Linked DNA regions of Oryzias latipes. The protein of the gene in region 1 interacts with the protein of each later gene in a biochemical or structural test. Links are inferred from orthologs where the notes say so. Each region holds a gene or a part of one and is shown in the gene's direction. Other genes may lie near its edges.

Region 1 (3,422 bases):
ACCAAGACTCTGTCAACACTGACACTGTGTGTCGCCTCTATGAAGTCGGCCGGCAGCGACTTGCAGAAGAAGAGGAGGAGGATGAGGAAGATCAGGTTAAACTTTTTTTTTTTCATAAAATCTGAACTGAGAAGCAGATCTTATACCTGCACTTTATGACTGAAACTTTAGTTTTGTTTTTTGTGTTGCAGGAGGATGATGACCAAGACGAAGACGATGACGATGATGACGATTCTGATGATGACGTTGATACGGATCCTCTCATTGCTGAGCTGGAAAACGAGAATGGAGGAGAGGATGATGACGATGACGGCAATGAAGCATTATCTCCATCCGATGAGGAAGTCGCACGCCTTCTTGAAGACGATGGAGACGTCGAGGAGGACGATGACGAGGATGAGGATGAAGAGGACGATGATAATGAAGAGGATGACTCTGACAATGACGATGCAGACCTGGAAGGTGACAATGGTGAGTATAAGTGAGCAGTCTACACATTTCTATAAGTAGTTTTTACAAGTTGCTGGAAGAACTCAGTTTTATTGACTCAAACAGAATTTTCTGTACTTGAGCGTGAATTACATATTTTCTATAAAGTAAACCACAACCTTTGATAACTTATATTATTAGGGCCACTGTCTTTCATCTAATCAGTGGTGCTCATCAATGCATTAATGAAATGAACTGCCAGTTTTCTTTTGCTATTTGTATCACAGCAAAAGAATAAAAAAGAACAGTTTGAATGATCTGGCATAGATTTGACCTTAAACTCAACCACCTGATTGCTTCCACACAGCTGATTGTGGGGAATAATCGAGTCCTTCAGGAATGTTTTTCATAGAGCTCCCTGAGGTGGATGTGCATTTATTTTCTGCTGCACTTTCAAAAAGGTTTTCATTTGGGAGTCATTCCTTTGTGTTTGGGTGCCTGTTATGGTGCCACATGATTCCAAAGTGGTAACTGCTGTTTAATTTTTAAGACTTGCAATTCAATTCATATTTGTCAGACACTTTGCCAAATAAAGAGAATTAATTTAAAAGCTACATAAACAGTTTTATTTCATATTCCTTCAGTAATAACACATTTTTTCCCAGTCAGAAAAACATGTTTCAAAATCTTTAGAGTAAAGCCTCATTGTTGCCTGTTTAACTTATTTTAAGAACAGTTTTAAAAAAAAACGTTAACCTAACCTTAAGCTTCCTCCAAAAAAAGGGTTTTGCTTTTTGAGTGACTATCTTCTATTTTTAAAAATAAAATTTGAATATTTCAGAAGTAAGTTTAAGAATAAAGACGCAAGTAAACCAAAGACCTGTATGAAAATAAAAAACGAATTAGAAAGCCTTCACGTTTGCTCTTCTAGTGTGATGCTCTGACCAAATGTTTGTTGTTTAATATCCAAATCTCCATTTGATCTGCTGCACCAACAGACAGCTCGGACAACTCCGATCTGGAGGATGACATCATCTTATCCCTAAATGAGTGAAGATACCCCCATCGTCCAGGACTGTGGGGTCCATGGAAAACCACAGTTTATTTGTCTTGATAATCTACAAAAGTCTCAAACACAGATGATCCTTGGTAGGAAAGAGCAGAGAAGAACATGGAGACATGGCATTGGGCAAAAATGATTGTAAAGTATATAACTTTCTATTAAAAATTGGTTTGATGTGTTTAAAAAGGCCACTATGTAGATGTAGTGAAAAAAGGTTTTAGAAGTTCTCACTTTATTGGCTTTTTAAAAAGCCAGTTTGTTTCAAATTGATTCATTCTCTCCATCTTTGAAGACACAAAGTATGGTTCTTCTCAACTGACTTTTCCTTTTTAATTCTCTACCCATCCTGACTGAAGGACAACATGTGAGTTGCAAGGCAAGTAGTTTGTCTGGGAAAAAATAAATAAAAAAAACAGCCCAACAACATCCGTGAATTAGGCAGCTGTAGGGATCTTAACACACGGGGCTCTTGATTGCCAAAGAGCCACTCAGCAGTTCCAATAATAGATGTTGTCTCCTGATTTTGTTATGTAAACAGAAGAATTGGATCAAGCTGTCACTCCAGCGAGTGCAGACATTGTAACAACACCAGTGACACAAGTTCACAGCCGTCCAGCAGGCAGCGGATGTCTTTAGCTCCTTACAATCTTATGGTTGAGCTCACAAAGTGATCCGACTTCCATGGATGCTCGCAGGGTTGGAAAAATGCAGGGTTTTGTGTGCTTGGAACCAGCACAGGTCCAGTTATTTAAATAAAGTTCAGAAAACTTTGTTTTATTTCTCAAATCTCATTGGTTATTGAAGTGAGTGGTTAATTAGCGGACTGATGGTTAAACCGTTTCAATTCTTGGAATATTGAGAAACTGTGATTAACGCTGCAAAAATATGCTGTGTGTGAATTTTTTTTTCTTTTTCTTTTTCCCCCCTGACATGTTGGATACTGTCATTTTTGAAAAAGCAAAGGCTTAGCACACGCACACTTTAACGCAGTGCAACATGGTATACTTTTTTGGTTCTCTTGTTTCTAGGATTTACTTTTCCCTTTTGGAGACCTTTGAGTTTCTCAACACATTTACTGTACAGGTTGTATGTATCTAAAGTATTTTTACTATAAATAAAACGGAACAATTTGTGCTTTGACTCCTGTGCTTTTTTTTGAAGAAGAGTGACCCATGTTTGCAGACAAATGTTAAATCTGTTTTTTAAGAGGAACAGTTCAAATACAGCAAAAGTTAAACACATTTTCTTATTATACAGTGTGATGTGATGATGCAACAAGGGGAGGCCAATTTATTTATACTATTATGCAATAAAGTTCCTTAGGCTTTTTCCATTGTGAATTTTAAAGACAAAACAAAAACAGATCATTTGAATGAATTAGTGCAAATCTAATGTTTGAAGGAGCATAGGGATAATTTCTACAATGGAATAGATGGTACCTGTTTATCAACATTGGACTCAGGTGATTCAAAAAGCTTTCAAAAATTCAAATTATACTCTGACATTGACATTGGTTTAACTAACTTGCTTTATTCCTATACATTTTAGTTCATAAATCCATCTTTTTTCCCCTCAAAAAATACAGTGCATTTATTTGCCTTGACAGTTGGATCACAAATGTTTTTTAACAACTTGGTTTTATTTTGAAAGTTAGTTTCACCCACATTTGCTGCATACTTTTATCATATAAATAAAAACCAACAATTTGAAAACAAAATGTTGATATTTGTACATGTTATATATATATATATAAAGCAAGTTATGTTTTTAATATAGTCATCTGCAAATAAAAAGCGGCACAGAATGTGATCTCTGACACTTTCTAGATTGAGTTTGTCTAAAGTAAGCTGTAACTGCTAAATCATAAATTCCCAAACATAATTCAACATTTTGTAAAGTTCAATATGTAACCCCTCTTCCACTGCATCCA
Region 2 (4,565 bases), on another chromosome or scaffold:
AGTGACTGCATCTCGAATGTTTTCCAAAGTGGGGGTCCACGGGCAGGCTAAACGGGTCACTCCAGAATAAGTATACATTAAACCCGTGTCTCCATACGTTGCCTGCTTTCTTGGGATGTTGTAGACCTTTCCATACACCTGGACCTTTGCTTCTTCTCCTGAAAGACCAACATGGATCAAATTCAGTGCAACCTTTGGGTACGAAGCAGAAAAAAGATGGAAGGTATACCTGTAGAGTACACCACCTCCTCCTCCAAATGCTTAAACAGCTCATCGGCTTCCTTTTTAGAGAAAATCAATGCATAATCACAGTCGAGTCCCTCTGCCTCTATTTTTTGCCAGGGAACAGGATGGGAGAACTCTCCTAGTTTAGTGTCACCATCTTCCTCTTGTATGCCCTCGTCATCATTCAGCAGTTTCATCATCTTCCATTCCCTTCTTTCAGGGGAATTCTTTGTGCATAAACGCTTATGTCGCCTTTGAAGAACACCGTTTTCCATCATTGCAGAAAAACACTGGTGGTTCTCAGGTAAGTAAGATTTGATCTCCTTGACAAGACAAAGAAAAATATTATAAAGGGGAAAATTAGTCTTTACAATAAGGCTGTCATTTACGAAAAACATTGAGACTTTCTGCTTTCAGCTGATCTTCCTACTCGTATGATCCGTGGATATCCATGTCTGACCTCATCTGTCAGTCTGTCCATCGCCACAGTAAACAATGGAAAAAAAAAGCTGATCCTTGAAGCAGTCCCACCTCCACCGTGAACTTCTCCATCACACCTACAGCACATCTCACTGCTGTCTTACATCCTGCTCAACTCCAACACATTTCTGACTCTTCATACAAAACCCCAGCTCCTTTCTCTGTATCCCGTCATTTCCATCTAGATCTAGAAAGACACAATCCAGCTCCTTCTGACCTTCTCTTTTCCAGAAGCACCCTCAAAACAAATGACATCTGTGGTTCTCATTCTCTGCGTGAAACCTACTGTTGCTCAAAATGCTCACTTCTGACCTCAGCCTTTCTCTTAACACACAGTCCTGAACTTCTTCATTCCACAACCAAGTCTAAATTATCTGCTTTGATCCCATAAATCCGGAAAGTTTTTCTGTTATGTTCAGTTTGTTTTTGAAAGAAAACCATTTAATCCACTAAACAACTTCCACTTTTCTTCATAAAAACCCTGACTTCTCTTACCTTCATAAGACGTTTCTTCTACCAACTATCTTCCAAAAATGTCAGCATTTTGCAACATGTGGCCTGAAAAGCAATTCAAGGTAGTTTGCTTGACCAGACAAAGTTTATAACAGCTGCTGCAGAAGCGTGAAAACTGGCTGCGCTTGAACGGCGCTCAGCTCATTACCATAAATGCTTTCGTCACTAAATTAAGGCGCGAAAAGTCTTAACTATAGTCCGCGAGGTCGTTTTACCTGGAGTACTGCAATTTATCTGCTGTGAATGAATTAGCCGGATAGAGTTAGTCCTTCCAGACAGTATAGGACAGTTTATTTCTTCAGTATTTTGGAAAAATGATTGGACAGAAAACTATTAACTCCTTTTTCTCGCCGGTTTCAAAAAAGAGGTTGTCTCAGGAGACGAATAAAACAACGGAGGATGATATTGAGCCAGTAAGCATCACTTTCTTTAAAATTATTTCTTGTTTTTTAAACAGATAATACACAAATCAAATGTAATTAACTCGACTTGGACAACTTTACTTGCAGTCCATGCACTGATGGTGTTGTTCTCGCGAGATTTTTTAATGTTCCCGTGCTGCGTTCGTGGTCTTTTCGATACTCTGAAATGTCAAAGATGTCGTTCCCTGCTAGCGTAACAAGAAAATGTTAGCACCTTTGTGTTTTCTGGGTATTAATAAATGTTCGTTGCATATATCAAGTTTCATGCCGGTTCGTCTTTCTTCTCAATATATTAAAATTATCCAGAAGAAACCGAAGATCGCTGCAGTGGACCCAGAACCGCAAAGTTCTCCTCTGTCTCCGGAGCAACTGGACAAGATTGCCCGCAACAAGAAAGCCGCGCTGGAGAAGCTCGCTTCCGGGCTGACGCCGCAGGGGTTCAGCGAGAGCTGGCGCAGGGAACTCTGGTCTGAGTTTTCCAAACCATATTTTAAAGATGTGAGAGAGCCACGCGTCTGCATGCACTGCGGTTTCTGTTGTTCAGCAGCTCTATTGATTGTTTCCTATGCGTGCCACAGCTGACAAAGTTTGTTTCTGACGAGAGGAAGCGCGGTACTGTGTACCCACCTGCCGAACAGATCTTCACCTGGACCCAGATGTGTGACATCAGAGACGTGAGTTGGACGCACAAACATCTGACCACGTGGTCAGACTGAGTCAACAGGTGGGAGGAGTGGATCCTTGCCTCTGAACTCACTCTTTTTTACAAAAAAAAGGTGTGGGGGGGGGCGTTTTGTGTTAAAGATTTCTTCACAAATATGATCAGCCTATTTAAAGATCGCAGATCTCAAACTTTTCAATACCCTCTATATATAAAAACTAGGCTTTAGCTGCATTACATCATCACAAGTGCATAAAAGGTACACCAGGGAGCCACTTCAAGTTATTTATTTTACCCCATAAGAACCCATGGGGACACCCGTGTGACTAAAAAAATAATCAGAAATGTGTCTTGTGGTCTGTGAGTATCCCACAATGTTTTCATTTAAGGTCAACCAGATCTGGGTTCTTATGGATTTTAAGGAAAACCTTCGACTTCCATGCATGTTTAGTAAATGGTAATCCTGTTGATAAATCTGTATCCTGCAAAGTGCACAGCGTATTGCATTTCTTCTTTAGATTACTGATAATTTGGTATGAATAGTTGGTGTGATGATGAGGATGCAGATGAAGGGTTTAGATGTAGGCTGATGATTTGCAGCCAAAGGGCAAAGAAGATTAAAAAGCTAAAACGTTTATAAAGTATTGACCTGTTGTCCACATGGACTGTTTGCAGCATTAGATGTTTTTTTTTAAAAAATATGTATTTAAAAGGTTTTCTCTCAACTTTTAGCCACCATAAAGTAATTTCTAATAAACAGAAGAAAAAGGAGGTACCAGGTGAATATTTTTTGGCCATTCAGATGGGTTTTTCTCAAAAGCAAATGCCTACATCGTTTTTTTTTTAAACATTTCTCTTGCTGATAACGGAGTGTTTAAAATGACTACAGCTTAGATAATTGTGTTTTCTATTCTAATTCAAGAATATCAGTGATTTACAATTTTTACAGCACTATTTCTTATTTTGGGTAATTTATTTACATGTCCTAAATAAAGATGGGAAAGGTGTGGAATCAGATTTGGTTTCATCCAGAAGTCTTATCTGTACGTGAAAAGTACATTCAATGAGTATTTTTTTTGAGAGGAGGACTTAGAAATCCTAAAAACACATCTGGTTTTAGGTCAAGGTGGTGATTCTGGGACAGGATCCGTATCACGGTCCAGGTCAAGCGCATGGATTGTGTTTCAGCGTGAAACGACCCATTTCTCCTCCACCCAGGTTTATAACTATTGTGTTTCCCTTCATTTATCTATCGACACATAATTCTGATGATCTTGGATGCTCTGCACTACAGCTCATCTAAATAAAAATCTGCATTTTGACACTTGTTTTTTTTTTTCCTCCAGCTTGGAGAACATGTACAAAGAACTGGTTTCTGATATTGAAGGCTTTAAGCATCCTGGTCATGGAGATCTCACTGGATGGGCTCAACAGGGTAAAGATTCAAAGATTGCTTTGAATGTTTCCGTTTTGCAGATTTGGTCATCCACGAACATGCTGTCCGTCTTTCCTTTGACCGTTCTCACCAGGTGTGCTCTTGCTGAACGCTGTGCTGACCGTTCGAGCACACCAGGCAAACTCCCACAAAGACAAAGGTTGGGAGGTCTTTACTGATGCTGTGGTTCAGTGGCTCAGCAACAACCTACAAGGCCTAGTCTTCCTCCTCTGGGGATCATATGCTCAGAAGAAAGGATCTGCCATCAATAGGGTACTCCATCTAACCTTCAAAATGTCAGCAGAGGCCTTTGTAGCGTAGCAGTCATTGTATGCCTTTCTATCTACTTCTAGAAACATCACCACGTGCTGCAGGCGGTGCATCCTTCTCCCCTGTCAGCACATCGAGGATTTTTTGGTTGCAAACACTTTTCAAAGGCCAATGAGCTGCTAAAGAAATCTGGAAAGTCTCCCATTGATTGGAAAGCACTTTAACTTCACGTGTTTGATAGATCTTCCAACATGTGTTCCTTAACTCTAGACCAAAACCCACTCATAAGCTTTTACTTTCTCTTCCTGAAACAGTTTATACTTGTAAGTTTGCCTTTTTTCTTTTAACTACTTATTCTAATAGGCAGTTTTTGTAAGATGCCTTTTCACCATCTTGGCCGTCAGATCTGGATGGTAGCTGTTGTTGTGCGACTTGTCATGAGTGTTGTGCAGATATAGCATTAAATATATCTGTATGTTATTAGCTTTTAGTTTATGCAATAAAGTTTATTGTCTTATCAATTCAATTCACGTTTTGTCGTGAACAATCTTTTTACATC

The links.
Region 2: of the proteins of dcaf1 (region 1) and ung, one has a biochemical effect on the other in vitro, tested with the Homo sapiens proteins (2 studies listed by BioGRID, with this or other methods). The link is inferred for Oryzias latipes from reciprocal best matches to the Homo sapiens genes DCAF1 and UNG.

The regions. Positions count from the first base shown.
Region 1 is NC_019865.2:16,270,256-16,273,677, reverse strand, and holds the end of dcaf1 (DDB1- and CUL4-associated factor 1), read left to right. Parts: coding exon 1-95; intron 96-191; coding exon 192-471; intron 472-1,427; coding exon 1,428-1,483; 3' UTR 1,484-2,632; downstream 2,633-3,422. UniProt on the Homo sapiens protein: Acts both as a substrate recognition component of E3 ubiquitin-protein ligase complexes and as an atypical serine/threonine-protein kinase, playing key roles in various processes such as cell cycle, telomerase regulation and histone modification.
Region 2 is NC_019867.2:12,979,437-12,984,001, forward strand, and holds ung (uracil-DNA glycosylase), read left to right. Parts: upstream 1-1,738; 5' UTR 1,739-1,844; coding exon 1,845-2,138; intron 2,139-2,218; coding exon 2,219-2,314; exon of another isoform or gene 2,315-2,379; intron 2,380-3,421; coding exon 3,422-3,519; intron 3,520-3,647; coding exon 3,648-3,736; intron 3,737-3,830; coding exon 3,831-4,009; intron 4,010-4,089; coding exon 4,090-4,230; 3' UTR 4,231-4,532; downstream 4,533-4,565. Other genes in the region: DNA oxidative demethylase ALKBH2, read right to left, coding at 1-158, 230-548, 656-793. UniProt on the Homo sapiens protein: Uracil-DNA glycosylase that hydrolyzes the N-glycosidic bond between uracil and deoxyribose in single- and double-stranded DNA (ssDNA and dsDNA) to release a free uracil residue and form an abasic (apurinic/apyrimidinic; AP) site.